Drosophila melanogaster: one gene and its partner. The gene in region 1 interacts genetically with each later gene. Each region holds a gene or a part of one and is shown in the gene's direction. Other genes may lie near its edges.

The links. Genes that interact genetically often act in the same process or in processes that back each other up.
Region 2: of Syx17 (region 1) and Rab11, changing one suppresses a phenotype caused by changing the other (phenotypic suppression), as found in Drosophila melanogaster (one study listed by BioGRID).

The regions. Positions count from the first base shown.
Region 1 is NT_037436.4:4,400,609-4,407,082, forward strand, and holds Syx17 (syntaxin 17), read left to right. Parts: upstream 1-2,878; 5' UTR 2,879-3,218; coding exon 3,219-3,287; intron 3,288-3,342; coding exon 3,343-3,589; intron 3,590-3,650; coding exon 3,651-4,240; coding exon of another isoform or gene 4,241-4,375; 3' UTR 4,376-4,560; downstream 4,561-6,474. Other genes in the region: slow (slowdown), read left to right, coding at 1,292-1,548, 1,617-2,035, 2,104-2,235; CG15019 (uncharacterized protein), read right to left, coding at 4,753-5,007, 5,177-5,362.
Region 2 is NT_033777.3:21,108,738-21,118,071, forward strand, and holds Rab11 (Rab11), read left to right. Parts: upstream 1-2,670; 5' UTR 2,671-3,078; coding exon 3,079-3,118; intron 3,119-5,208; coding exon 5,209-5,330; intron 5,331-6,015; coding exon 6,016-6,364; intron 6,365-6,513; coding exon 6,514-6,647; 3' UTR 6,648-7,409; downstream 7,410-9,334. Other genes in the region: rtet (tetracycline resistance), read left to right, coding at 1-313, 510-851, 915-988, 1,282-1,457, 1,515-1,820, 1,879-1,970; ppan (peter pan), read left to right, coding at 7,567-7,896, 7,959-8,323, 8,380-8,807, 8,859-9,118; Bdbt (bride of doubletime), read right to left, coding at 9,187-9,334.

The DNA.
Region 1 (6,474 bases):
AATTTTGGCCAGCCAAATGGCCAGCAAAAAGACCAACCAACGATCGCAGCAGTCAGTCGTCACTCAGTGGCCACGTCACGCGTTCGCAATTGTTTTTGGCCCGCATTGCCAATTACGACACCATCAGCCACCACCAGCATCAGTTGCTGCAGCAGCAACATCAGCAGCAGCAACTGCAGCAGCAGTAACTGCAGCAGCAGTAAGTGCTGCATCAAACAGCAGCGTTTATTCGCAGCCCCACAGCCTGCCAATTTATGGGATGCACCTCGCTTTTGGGCCAGTTTGCCTCGTTTTTTGGCAACCAAAATCAAAAACCGCTTATTATCAGCGCTTTTTATGTTTGACTGCTTGGGGGCCAAAGGTCTTAGGAGCATTGGCACTTCGGTTATTGGATTTTGGCTGGGTTTGAGAGGCACAGGGTCATATATAAAGATTTATTATAAAGTGTGAAGTTGGGATTGTACTTGAGTAGTAAAAACTTCAAATGCTCTTATGGGCTTAAATTTGTAATAAAACAACGGCTACAGCGTTAGTTCCGAAAAATTCCTGGTAAGGATCTAAATGCTGAAAATATTATGTTCAATAGAAATATTGGCTAATATATAAACATTTTAAAAAAATTACTTTTAGTCTGATTTTTATCCTTTAAAACATTAAATTGGTTACCTTTTTTTGAGTTAGAAGTACATACATTTTTCGCTGGAAAAAATTGCTAAATTTGAATTTGTTGCACAAGGCAACCGAATTGGATAACAACTAATATGGAATATCCTTGTGATATTTCTGTCAACAGTTTGACAAGCCTTCAAATTTGGTTTGACAGCCACTGAACTGTCGGTTGCGTGAACTGGAGCACTTGGTTGCCAGGCTGATAGGCTGCCAGGCTGCCAAACTGCCATCTGGCTGCTCCTCCATATCCGAGTCCGAGTGGCGGGCAAACAAATGACATGGCTGACATGGCTGCAAGTCATCGGCTGGGAGCGTGTCGTGTTTGTCATCGCAGATACGCGAACACGCTAATATCGTAGTCCAGTCCAATCGAATCCAATCCAATCCAATCCGCTGGCACTTCCAGACACATGTGACAATTGCCCAGATCCCACTCCTAAAAACAACCTGTTGGCCGCTCTGTGTCGTTATGACTGTAATTGGGCGAAGTCGTCTGGAAAAGTCAGTTTCACTTTTGCAGATGATGAGCCGCTGATTTGGGTCAGCCACACCGCTCGAATCCATTCCAATCCTATTCGATTCACACCTCGCTCTGGTTTGTTTTCCTTGCTACTCATTGCAGGCGGCACATTTGCATGCAACAGCGAACGGTTACGATGCCCGTGAAGCGAACGGAGGTCTACAGTCGTCCCACCTGGAAGCACGTGGCCACGCCCTGCCAGCCGCCCACCTTTAGTGGCCAGAAGTGCACCAGGGTGCAGGTGGTCCACGAGCAGGCCTACAGGGACGTCATCGATCACAAGACCGCCCAGCAGATGACCTACGACTGCTGCACGGGATGGAGCCGGGAAAACCCAAGGTCGGATTCGTGCATGAAACGTGAGTCTTAAACAAAATACATAGATTGCAATGAATTTGGAATATTTTTATCTTCTAATTATTTACAGCTATTTGCTCCGCGCGCTGCCAAAACGGTGGCAATTGTACGGCTCCTAGCACCTGCAGCTGTCCAACTGGTTTCACAGGACGTTTCTGCGAGCAGGATGTGGACGAGTGCCAGACGGAGAAGCCATGCGATCAACAGTGCATCAATACGCATGGATCTTACTTCTGCCGCTGCCGTCAGGGATTCGTTCTCCAGTCGGATCAGCAGAGCTGCAAGAAGGTGTCCACGAATGCGGACGATGCGTTCGAGGCTCGGGATCTGGAGAACGATATCGATGATACGGACGCGGAGGTGGCCACGCGACTCCAGAAGATCGAAAAGTCCTTGGCCAATGAGCGAGTGCACACGAACGAGCTGCAAAAGTCGCTGCAGGCCACCTACAGTGTGGTGGACACACTCAAGAGTCGGCTAAGCACGCTGGTAAGGATTAGAGTTGAACTTCTATATTTGAATATTCATACTTTAACGATTACTTCGTATGCCCTCAGGAAAAGCAGGCTCAGGATGTCAGTCGACTGCAGACGAATCTCTACAAGACAGAGTCCCGGACGAACAAGCTGGAGGGTATGCTGAACCTGCTGCTGAAGTGCCGGAATGGCCCCAATGCCAATTGCCCCTAAACAGAACTGCATTTCCCCACGCTATTATTAAATGTTAGTTAACTTAATTGACCACTCCGTTCATGTGTAGCTAGATGCTCCTGCTTGTAAGCCATTCCCGAATGCGAGTCGAGTGCCTCTGTAGTCTGTAGAATTAGCCCACGGATCGGGCTATTAGTACTTAAGCGAGAACGTGTGTCATAAATGTATCGAGATGTGAAGTTTTAGACGTAAGCGCACCACCGCACTCTGCACCGCTCTTCATGTGGGTGGTGCAGTGATTAGTTTCTGCATGTATCTGTATATAATTTTAATGTATATGAGAAATCACTGCACGAATAAATGCATTTTCTGATTTTAATGGGTCTTTCATGGGATATTTAACAAAGGAAATCTATTTATCTGGAAGTTATCATGAAAAAAAAGGTAAAGTGCTGCAATATTTACTTTTATATATTGGCTACAACTTAACGCGCAACATAAAATTTGGTTATTTTTCCTTTTAAATGCAATAATGGTGAGTCAACAACTATTTTTATGACCTCGGCTGTAAGCTGACCTTTTAGCGGGGATTCCCACCAGCGGAGACAATCGATAACTGTAAGAATAATATCGAGTGTGGGCAAGGCTGCGCAATATTCGCTAGTATCGAACTGATTGCCATCTCTATCACCAATAACAAACAAATAATTGGACTGCACAATAGAATTATTATCAGTATAAATATAGGGGACAAGACCAGCATGATTGGAACCATGCCACCGTAGTTTCATTCACAACAACAAAGCACTACTCACTGGAAACATCCCGAAAAGCAAGCAGTGACGTCACTGGCAAAACAAAGCAAAAACTGCGCAGAAAAACCAGGGAAATCTGTTAAGCAAGGTCCATCGTTAAAAAGGGGCGGGGGGTGTTACAGAAACTGATCCCCCAGATTTCACTTTTACCACAATTAAAACTGATTAAAAATCAAAGCGCTGCGAGTTCAAAGTATTCAGTTCACGATGACGCGCGATGAGAAACTGCCACTTAAACAGGCGGAGGTCTCCATCCAAAGGTTTCAGGATGTGGCGGTAGGTTATTTACTATATCTTCTGAAGAGCGGAACTAATTCCTTAACACTCATAGGTGCCCCACCATCTGAGCCTACTGAAAAACCATCGCAGCAATATAGAAAAAAGCCTGGCGCTCGGCGACTGGCAAAAAATCAAAAAGGAGGAACTCAATGCTATGAGGGTCATTAAGCAGATCAAGAATCTACTTCTGGAAATGGATGCACTGCGAGAAAAAGTACGGGAGGAGGATCTGGAACGTTTCGACGACCTAATGAAACCTGGCAGGGATACTGCCTTCGCTGGCATGAAGGAATTTGCGGGTAAGTTTGAAATGCCATCTAAATTCTTTCGGCTTTACCAACACACCTACTGTATTTTTAGAGCTCCAACTCAAATCACCCACCTCCACTTTGAGTTCTCAGTACGACGACGATCTGGACAATCAGCCACAGGAGGTGGATATGAACAGTCTACCCGCACACCGCCACATGCCCCAGCTGCAACTCAATTTCCAGCTGGAGGAACACCAATTGGCGCAGAGGCAAGCCTGCCTGGATCAGATGGAGAACCTGCAACAGGAGATCTACGATCTGCACGGGATGTTCCAGGGAATGCGTCAACTGACTGCAGAGCAATCAGTGGCGGTGGAAAAGATAGCAGACAATGCGGAGGAAGCTCTGGAGAATGTCCAGCAGGGCGAATTGAATCTGCGCCGGGCGCTCACCTACAAGAAGGCCATGTACCCCGTAGTCGGAGCTCTTCTGGGCACCTGTGTGGGAGGACCCATTGGTCTGGTGGCGGGCATGAAAGCTGGAGGATTGGCGGCAGTAGGATGTGGCATCCTCGGCTTCACCGGTGGCTCTGTGCTAAAGGCCAATCCCAATGTAATGCATGGCAACATCGAGGAGGAGCAGGTGGAACCGGATAGCGAGTCAACTGAGAGACTGGAGCTAAAAGAGAAGCCAGAATGACCCGCAGGAGGAAGTGCCCGATCCGCATCCACGGCTCTGGCCACCACGCACATATGGTCGGCGAACACACGACGTTTGGAGGCAGCCACCAACGGAGTGATTTGCAGCGTGCGCAGCTATTGTTCCGTTCAGTAGAAATTTGACCACGATTTTAGTTCAATATCCCCATTTTGTGATTTTCCACGTGCAATAGAGCTAATGAGCATAATGTAACTGCACTTTAGTTTAAGCGTTGGATACTTGTTGTTCACATGACACCGCAAATGTGTGTAGATTTTAAGGCTTTAATATGCAATAATAACTCGTAGCTTTAAAAAAGTAATGATACTATTTGATTGCCATGTTGAGAAGTTCAGACTATATCTGGGTTTTTCAGAACTTGTTTGGGCTTTAATATGCAATATATACTCTTAGCTATAACATCTTTGTAGAAAAAGCCTACAAAATCTCCTAAACTAAGCGAGGACTTATAAACTACGATAAGATACCAGATGGGTAACCCAGCCCCGGATTTATAGGGGAACATTAACCGTGGTCCAGGCCTGTTTGAAGTTCTTCTTCTGCGAGTGCTGCTTCTTTCTTAGACGCTTGGCGGTCTTCTTCTTCTTGAACCACGCAGGATAATTGCCGTACTGATCTTTGAGGGTCTTGCTGTTGAAAATGTGCTCCACGCCCGTGTTCTCGTTGGTCACCTTGACTTTCTCGCCCTTCTCCAGACTCTCCTGGTGCTCGTAGATCAATTCCTGCTCCTCCTTGGATTTGGCCTCCTGTTTTAGGAATACAATTTCTTCTTTAATAAGGATATAAAATACGTAACAAGAATGAAGGTAGTATCGCGATAAACTAAGCCGGTTTTTCGCATATTACATGCATACAATACATATAATACATTAGGTAAATTGGTATATTTGTAGGTGGGTATATCACATAACTAACCCTTTTGAGCTCCTTGGCGGTCTTAATTTCGACCACATCGCTTATATCCTTCATGATCTCATTTCCATCGGCATCTAGGAGTCCCAGAGTTTTCTTCAGTCGAATTAACTCCTTGGCTTCGTACCGCGCCTTCTTTATCTTATTCATTTCATCACGACGCTTTCTCGAGCGATTGTTTCTGCCCATTTCGGTAGTCGGATATTAAGTAATACCAGAAAAAGTCAAAGAAGTAAAGAAATTGCGTTCAATTTGCTAAAAACGTAAACACGTGTGTTTTTGCTAGAGCTGGAAAACTGCCCGATTTTTCTTCGATTTTTTTCAGCGGGCTCTTATCGATAGCGCAAATAAATTAATCGACCAGGGCTTATTTTTAGTTATTTAGCCGCCAAGATTAAAAATTGTTTTTTTTTTACTCTCGTTTTTTAAATAGTTTTATATACTTTCTATGTAAAAGACACTTATCTGTATAGAAATATGTGTCATATTATTTAATTACACCTTATGTCCTTATTTTCCCTAATATGCTGTAGCGCTGTTGTATCAATTATCAGGTACATAAATTTTTAAAAACCACAAAATATATTAAAACATATTAAATTCTAGTTTTTATGACTTTGCCTTTAATGCATATAAGTTATAACTTTTTTAAAAACCACAAATTAAGCTTTTGTGGCTTTTTTCCACTTCCATTTTCGTTTCCATTCATCTCTTTCTTCCCCTTTTCCACTCTGTATTTATTTACCTTTTGTTCTCTCTCCTTTTCAGTATATATATATTGCAATATGATTTTTGTATACAAACAAAATCAGCTGCTGAAGAGAAAATGAGAGGCTTGCCAAATACGAAAAGTAACTAAAATAGGAAATATAGTCGTTGTGAAATGCTCTACACCGACTAGATTTTTAATACACTAAATAGAATTTTATAAAAAATATATGATTGTACAAAATGCAATAGTTTTCTCTAATAGCTAAGACAATGCATATAATAGTTTGTTTAACAGTTTAAAAGAATTCGGCTTAAATGCACTTACTTTTTAAAGACCTTGATAAAAAGGTTTTCACAAAGAGATAGACTGTAAAAATGTCCTAGCTATTTAGCCAAAGTATAAGGTATTGTTAATGTACAATACAATGTGTTTACTTCAGTGACATAGCTGAGTTACTTTCGATTTGGATAGAGCATCCGAAGAGCCTCTCTTGCACATGCGCAGCAGCAGAAAGAGGCAGAAACAGGGTAAGTGTGTCGGGCTCAGCTGTAGAGCCACCAATACATGGGTAGCGCACCAACACCAGCGA
Region 2 (9,334 bases), on another chromosome or scaffold:
GAAGAGTGATCCCATGATATACATAATCTTCGTATCGCTGCTCTTCGACTTACTGGCCTTCACCATCATTCTGCCGCTGCTGCCCTCGCTGTTGGAGCACTATCGCCAGAACGACAGCTCCGGCTTGTATGCCGTGCTCACGGATCGGGTGCGCTGGTTCCAGCAGCTCCTGGGCGCCCCGGATCGCTACATATCGGTGCTATTCGGAGGCTTTCTCGGCTCCATGTTCAGCTTCCTGCAGTTCGTGGCCAGTCCGATTGTCGGAGGACTCTCGGACTACTACGGACGGAAACCAGTCCTGCTGGCTTGTGCGGTAGGTAATCCCAGTGCTCAATGCTTTAATGTGCACTAAACACTAAACTAGTCTTGTTAGTTTTCTTTTTGGCTTGGTCAACATTTCATGCTATTACGAGTTCAATCCAAAAGCGTGGAATTCGTCAAATTCAAACTCCTTAGCTAAGCCACAAATAAGTAAACCTTCCTTAAGCTACGTCTTCTTTCATCTATAGAGTGGTATTGCGTTATCCTATCTGATCTGGGCCTGCTCCAGCAACTTTGCCCTGTTCGTTTTGGCCCGCTTCGTGGGCGGAATTAGCAAGGGCAACATATCCCTGTGCATGTCCGTCATTACGGATGTGTCCAGCGTTAAGACCCGTGGACGCGGTATGGCCCTTGTGGGTGTGGCCTTCTCGCTGGGCTTTATTGTGGGGCCCATGATTGGAGCCCTGTTCGCCATATTCTCCGATAAAAGTGGAAGTACTTGGTTTGTGTTGCCCTCTCTGCTGGCGTTTGGCCTGGCAGTTGGAGATCTTGTGGTCCTGGCCTGCTGTCTGCGGGAAACGTTGCCCAAGGTGCGTACGGTTGGCTAAATTAAATATATTCCCAACACCATTAATTGTTTGACCTTTTCGCAGGAGAAACGTGTTAAGGAGATATCATCTGCACTGTCTTATGGCCTGCAGTTGCTCAATTTTTCGGCCATATTTAGGTAATTCAATGTTTTAATTAGCATGTCTCGAAAACCTGTCGTGTGATCAAATCGAAATCGTCATACGGTGAGAACTGCAAGCCACCCGGACTTGCCTGACTGGTTTGATAGACACTATTATCATGCCGGGTTCTCGGACACGTTTGTTTGATTGCCTTATCAGTTAGTAAATTCTAGATTGCTTTTGATTAATTGTAGTTACAGGGAATTGAGTCCAGTTAGCTAGAAGATTATTACCAATGATTATGTCTGGATTTTACAATCATATTTCAAAAGAATTCTCCCACTGACAGATTTGCTGCCATCAAAAATGTGCCTAAGAAAGACATTGCGGCACTGCGATCCATTGGCCTGGTATACTTCTTGTATCTCTTTCTGTATTCCGGCTTGGAGTTCACCGTCACATTTCTGATGTACCACAAATTCGGTTACACTTCGATGGATCAGGCGAAGATGTTTTTGACAACGGGTATGGAGCAAGTTGATAATCTACAATATTCCCTATCAAATTTGTGTCTTTTTCTAGGTGTAATCATGACTTTGCTGCAGGGATCGGTGGTCCGACGGCTGCCCGAGGCGAAGATCAAAGGCTATGCCATCTTCAGTTTGTACCTGATTGTACCCGCCTTCGTAGTAGTCGGCCTAGCCGAGGGCAGTCGGATGCTGTACGCCGGCATGACCCTGTTCGCAATCTCCACAGCCTTCGCTGTCACCTGTCTGACCACCCTCGTATCCAAATACGGAAACGATGACCAGAAGGGTTCAGTACTGGGCATATTCCGCTCACTGGGAGCTTTGGCTCGAGCTCTGGGCCCCGTGGTGGGATGCATTGGTGAGCTCCTCAGCTGTCTTAGGATTATACCTTTTCTAAACTCTTTAATCCTTAATAGCCTTCTGGTGCGTTGGCTCCAGGATCACCTATATAGCCGGCGGACTTCTGCTCATTTATCCAGCCATGGCCTTGCAACGCGCTCGCATTTAAGTGCAATAGGAATAGAGTTTTTAAACTCACTAGAGATCAACGGAAGTATTAGCTGCACATTATACTTAATTTATCGTTTTTTACAAGTATTTTATATTAAAATAAACACATTTTTACTCTGATTTGTAAGCAGGGGGTTTTTACTTGGGATCGAAATGTTTTCTATTTAATTAATTTTTTTAATAAGATAATATTAGAAACAGTTACTGCTACTGGGAGAACGATTCTGTTTAGGTTGGAACGTTTTAAGTATTCAAGACATTTTGAGTTGGAAATAAGTTAAATGGGCTAGGGATAATCCCTAGAAAATGTGTTCAGCTTTTTTAAAATACGATAGGCTTGTCGGGATGAAACGAGAGCAGTTCATGATAATTCGTCGTACCGTCTGGTAACTCTAAAACATCCATCTCGTTAATTTAGTGATGCAAGTCGATGTGAAAACATCGATAATGATATAAGTATGTTGGTGTTTTAAAATAAAACAAATAAGTTTTTTAAATAGGAAACAAACATTAGATTTATTTTCTAGACCTAATGTGTTTTAATTATGAAAAAATTTAATTCTAATTCTAAAGCTTTTGAGTATAAAACAATGTTCATATAAACAAAAATAGAAGTGACATTGTACTATCGCCTTACATCGCCATTAAGAAAATCGATAAGTATCGCCGAAATAATGTCGATGTACCGATATTTTTCAACATCTCTAGTCTCGTTGGAAATATAACGTGACGTTATTGGGAGTGACTAAGTTTTCGTGTAAGAGAAAATTGCAAATAAATGCGCTGCAAGCAGCTGCAAATCTCCAATTAATACTGCTCCAATTGCCGGAAAAGTCCTGCCAGCATTTTCGAACGCATCCGAGCTGGAAGAGCAACCGATTTCGCCACTTAAATACTGATATATACACTTTTCTCTTTCTTTACAACTACAACTGCAAATAAAAGTGTAAAGTGTGTGAGCCGACGACAAACGCATTAAAGAAATCGGCGGCGCGCAGGGATTATTGGATTTCGTTTAGCACCCGCACACACAAAACAAAAAGGACGGAACTGGATTTCCAAAGGATATCGAACCGAGCGAGCGATAGCAAAACAAATTGAGCAAAATGGGTGCAAGAGAAGACGAGTACGATTATCTGTTCAAAGGTAATTATAAACATGATACTAGCCGCTGGTCGAAGATCGCGGAAGGTTGATCAGGAGGGGAGGAGCCGCACTTCCAGGCTCTCCTCTCCCTGCCGTGAGAGACAGTGGTTCAATAGCACTAATTGAAACTAATTGGAGAATAACAAAAAGTGCACTCGAAGAGCCCAAAGTTCATGTGATGGTATGTGGTGTGTTTGTTTGCGTGAGTGTCATTAATTCCCAAAATAAGAAGTACGCCCCCCGAGTTTGTTGTTGTTGCTACTGCTGCAGTTGGATGCCCTTTGGTGGCTCTCCCGCTCTCACTCTGCCTATCTCCATCTCTTTGGGGTACTCTTTCGGACTGGAGTACGCGTACTTTGCCGTTAACTGCTTGTTTTGTCATTACAGTGCCGTTGGTCTCGCCACGTTGCATACAAAAGCCAAGCAGATCGTATTTATAATCGCTCGCTCTGTAAAGTAGGTTTAAGGCTTGCCCACCCACTCGAAATGCTAAAGTGATTAGATATCCAGTAAATAGAGCGAGAGTGTGGGTATTATGATTTCTGTACAGCTGGCTTTTGCAATGGTTTCTTGTAACTTCGTTTAGTAGCTCTCTCTCACGCGCGCTCTCTTTTTCACCCGCTCTCGATTGAAAGTTTGAAGCACAGTAGAGCAAAATGATGTATTTGCAGGTAGAAAACAAGACTTTTATCCCGCATCTTCCCCCGTTTATGTGTAGATATGTATGAACAGAGGTCACAAATTCTCAGCTCTTCTTTGTTCCCTTCGTTTGCTACTACGCCATAAATTCCAATTGCGCTTGGAAATCTCTGCTAGCTATCACAGCTGAGCAACTGTTGAATGTCATTAAAAAAATATTTAAAACTTAATCTGCCGTATTTTTTGGGTCAAGTATACAAAAAGTTAAAAAAAAAGTCATCATAATAATGCGTCAGTGTGCGGTATGCATGATGAGGCCTCAAATTTCACACATGAAACAATATTAAACGGACATGACTCACAGCCAATAACTGCTGAAGAATTCCACTCACCGATAAGCGCATAATCACATAACTGAAAATGGGCCGTTTCGGGTTATTCGAGCCAATCCCACTACTAAGTAATGACCGTCGATTACCACTCCTCCCCTTTTAATTTCTCATCGCATCCGCTTAACTAAGTGCAATTTCTCTTTAAAGATCGTTATTAGCGCTGAGAAAGAGAGTAGAAAACAAAGTGACTCAGCTCTCTCGCTGATAACTGTAACCACGCTGCTCCCAGCTGTCCACACTGAAAGAAAACCCTATACCCTCTAATTTAGCTATCTAAATTAAGTCAAAAACTTGGACTTAGCTCAAAAGTCGTTTCAAATATTTAGTTCCTATCTTAATGGCATTGCAATCGAAACTTCGAACTCAAGAATCAGTGTTCATATGATACCATTTTACTATTTGAATTTTCTCCGTGCAGCGATGACCATAGCGATAGAGCGAAAAGGTGTTTGATGAGTTATAGTTGTTGTTTTCTGAATGGATTAGCAAACATGCTGAATCAACAATGTCCGAAAAGGGTGTCAAAAATGGAAACTAATAGACAGACAGTCAGTAAACACAGTGTCTAGATATCAGTTAATATATATTATAGCCAACAACTCTGGCCGCACATAAGAAAGTTTATCAAAAAGAAATGGAGTCGTAAAAAGGTCAGTGGATAGTTTTTATCGGGTAGCATATCAACTTGGGATGCTTGTTTGCTCCCTCAAATATCCGCCACTCAATTATCCAAGAAATGTTTGCTATCGGCAATGAAGCACAATAACACGAACTCCCTAACGTCGACTGGCCCAATCATAAAACATTTCTTTCCATGGCCTGAAATCCCCCGAGCATGGCGGTTTTATGTACTCGCTGACCTTGGTGCGCCGTGCCAGCGGCGAAAGGAGGACATGACCTAGCCGGGCCACCAGCGACCATTCTGTCCGGCCGTAAAACACAAGACAGGGGCCATGCCACGCCACGCCACACCACACACCCACATAAATTATGCAACTGGGGGTCTTCGATTATCCAATGCCAATGTCGATGTCACTAATTCCCTCTAATCCTTTGCAGTTGTCCTTATCGGTGACTCCGGTGTTGGCAAAAGTAATTTGCTCTCACGTTTCACGCGCAATGAATTCAACTTGGAGTCCAAGTCGACGATTGGCGTTGAGTTTGCAACGCGCAGCATAGAGGTGAGTACGCTGGCCAAGAATTCGAGGGTGGAGTGGCCCATGGAGCTCCACCCCCACACATCTACCGCACCGCACCCACAGTGGGGGAAGTCACGGGTGAACTTGCGTGTGCGTTTCGGTGGGAGGACACGTAGTTGAGGCGTCTATCGGAAAATTGGGGGGAAAAGTTTGTTCAATTTGAGTAAGTGTCGAGAATTTCACTAAATAATGGATTGCCAATTGGCTTTCTTGCATAATTTCAAAAGCCATCCTACGGGATTAGCCAAAATGTTGACATCATAGTTGTCACTTGTGCTGAAATAATAAATTTATGTGGTCAATAACAATTATATATTACGTATGTATAAGGATTTGTGTTAAACAATACTTTGTGCCATCTTTTCGAAGTAGCTTAGTAGGTCATCTTAATATTTAGTATATCAAATGGGTTCAATGAATATAACTTACGCTACTTGCGTTTTTTCTAACTAGTGTAAGAAATTTCAAAAATTGGGTTCTCTTACTAGAGTTAAAAGCTTATCCATAAGCTCTAATTTATGTTGGTTATGTGTGAATACTGAATGCCAGTGCTTGTATATTAATTTTCAAAGCGAATGCGCCGCAGGCATTTCGTGGCGAAATTGCCAATTACTGGCACCATTCTAATGCTGTCCTTTGTTTCATCCTTCTTGTGCATCCAACGCAGGTCGATGGCAAAACAATTAAAGCGCAAATCTGGGATACGGCCGGCCAGGAGCGTTATCGCGCCATCACCTCTGCCTACTACCGCGGTGCCGTGGGGGCCCTGCTCGTCTATGACATTGCCAAGCATCTGACCTACGAGAACGTGGAGCGGTGGCTGCGGGAATTGCGCGACCATGCCGACCAGAACATCGTCATCATGCTGGTGGGCAACAAGTCCGACTTGCGGCACTTGCGCTCCGTGCCCACGGACGAGGCGAAGCTGTTTGCCGAGCGCAACGGCTTGAGTTTCATAGAAACCTCGGCCCTCGACTCAACGAACGTTGAAACGGCATTCCAGAACATACTCACAGGTGGGTCGTTCAGGATATTTTAGCTAGTCTGCTTTCAAATTATCGATCGTTTAAGAATATTTAAATACTGTAGATTAAACGCTTCATTGAAAGTCAATAGATTAATGATAACGAAGCACGACTAATGATGTCTCGTAATCCCGTTTCAGAGATCTATCGCATTGTGTCGCAGAAACAGATCAGAGATCCGCCGGAAGGCGACGTCATCCGCCCGTCGAACGTGGAGCCCATCGACGTAAAGCCGACTGTCACCGCCGATGTGCGCAAACAGTGCTGTCAGTGACCGCCCCAAGCAATTTTCGCTATTCCCCGCAACCGCCAGAACAGCAACATAAACAGAAGCAACAGCAATTACAACTACGACTACAAGAGGAGCAGCAGCGGCCAGAACTGCAACACCAAGATCAGGAGCAGCGTACACCCGATGGACCGCACAAGATGTCTATGCGTTTGTCAGCCACAGTTTGTCATGTGCGCATAAATTGATAATTCAAATCTGAGCCGCCACTCTCCACCACCAACACCACCACCATCATCAGAAGCAGCAGCAGCAGCAAAAGAATCGAAAGCAACAACATCCGGCTGTAGTTAACTGCGGTTTAAACTGAAGTTTTATATATATACAGATCCATGAGTATCGCATAAATCGACCGCCGCGGAAAGAAAGCAAGCAAAACTAAACACTCCAAATTCAGTTTAAGCTGTAGAACTATAATTTATATAAATATACATATATGCTAATATTAAAATATTAATATTATTAATTTTTCGCAACATAAATATATAGTTGTAATTTCGCGAGCAGAACAACAACAAACAACCGGAAATTCTTCGACTTAAACGCAAATTCATTACCACAGCACTGCAGCTCGGATTTTCTTCTTCGGTTTCTCGCAACATTTTAAACGATTGGCCACTTGGTAAAACTAGCTGATAAAGAGAAATCAAACAAAAACAGTTGTAAAACTTTAAATGCATAAATGAAACGAAATAACATCATTTGTGTTTGCTATGTTAAGTGTGATTAAATAAATATAATTTAAATAAAACAGAAGTGCTTTCAATTGGGCGGAAAATCGAAATTTAAAATGGGATTAGAGTGACCAAAGGCAGACGTCGGAGTGGGTGTTTGGTATTTTCCGCGCGAGCAGCCACACTGATCCATACACGTGCGGGAGAAAAGTGAACAAAAACATTGAAACATGGGCGGTAAGAAGAAAGTGCATCCGAAGACGCGCACGGCGGCCTTCAAGGCCAGCGAGCCGAGCGAGATCGTGGAGGCGCCGCACTCCTTCGTCATCCATCGCGGCCTCGCCTGTCCGTACATCACGGACCTCACCCTGGACTTCCGCCGCATTATGGAGCCCTTTACGGCCAGCAATCTGCGCGAGAAGCGGATGAACCGCATCAAGGACTTTGTCAGCCTGAGCAGCTTCTTCCACGTCTCGCACATGGGCATCTTCAACAAGGCCTCCACGCAGCTGTCCTTCAAAGTGGTCCGCTTGCCGCGCGGTCCTTCCCTGACTTTCAAGGTTTGTTTGTTTCATCGCTTAGTTTATACTGGATATTTTACCGCGAAGTTATTCTCTGTCAGGTTCACCAGTTCACCCTGGCCAGAGATGTGATCTCGCTAAGCAAAAAGCAGATGATTGACAACGATCACTTCAAGCACGCTCCGCTCGTCATCATGAACAACTTCAGTGGCGATGGCAAGCACCTTAAGCTGATGGCCACCACGTTCCAAAACATGTTCCCCTCAATTAACTTGGCCACGGTTAATATCGGCACCATTCGTCGCTGCGTCCTGTTCTCCTACAATCCGGACACGAAGCTGGTCGAGATGCGGCACTACTCCGTGCAGGTGGTGCCGGTTGGCTTAAAGCGGGCGGTCCAGAAAATCGTCAAAGGAACGGTACCCAATCTGGGCAAGTGCAACGAAGTCGTGGACTTTGTGACCAAGTAGGAAATGACCGTTTGTTCTCATTCCATCAAATAATCATAATATTGATTTTCAGGGACGGCTATGCCTCCGAATCAGAGGCCGAAGATGATGAGCAATCACATGTGGTGCTGGCACAGACTCTTAAAAGCAAGGGCAACTTGGAGGACAAAAAGAGCTCCATAAAGCTACACGAGATCGGACCTCGACTAACCATGCAGCTCATCAAAATAGAAGAGGGCCTTCTGACGGGCGAAGTACTGTATCACGACCATGTGGTCAAGACAGAGGACGAAAAGGAAACCCTGCGCAAGCTGGTCGAAAAGAAGCGAAAGCAGAAGGAGCAGCGCAAGAAGGAGCAGGCAGAGAACCGTGCCCGCAACTTGAAGCTTAAGAAGGATGAAAAATGGGCTGCCAAGAGGGCGGCAGAGGGACGGACTGACAGCGATCCCGAGGATGATGCAGAGTACTACAAGGAGGAAGTCGGCGAGGAACCAGACGAAGGTGAGTTGTGCTACATGCTGCGTAGAATATAAACTAATGTTTCCTTTGCAGAACTGTTCAAAATGGAAGCGAAGTCCTCCCGAAAGCGGCCTAGTTTGGGCGGCGGAATGAAATACAAGAACAAGCGCGCTAAACTGGATACCAAGGACAAGAATGACAAATCTGAGCGCACGGACAAGTACGATCGTAAGGACAAGTTCGATCGCAAGGACAAGAAGGACAAATTCGACCCCAAGAACAGGAGAGCCAAGTTCGATCCCAAAAACAAGCGCGCCAAGTTTGACCACAGAAAGAGTAGAAAATCAAAGTAGTACATTTAACATAAGCTATTTTATAAAGACCATTGGTTAACACGACATCGCAATGTTATCAATGGGAACTAACTAAACATACGTTGCACCACCTCCTTGTAATGGGCCTTGCTATCCTTCCAGCTAACAGCGATGTTGTCGCGCAGCTTGCTGAACTCTCGCTTCTCCTCGTAGTTGGGCATTCGCTCGATGGTGGCTTGCGCCTTGGCGAACTCC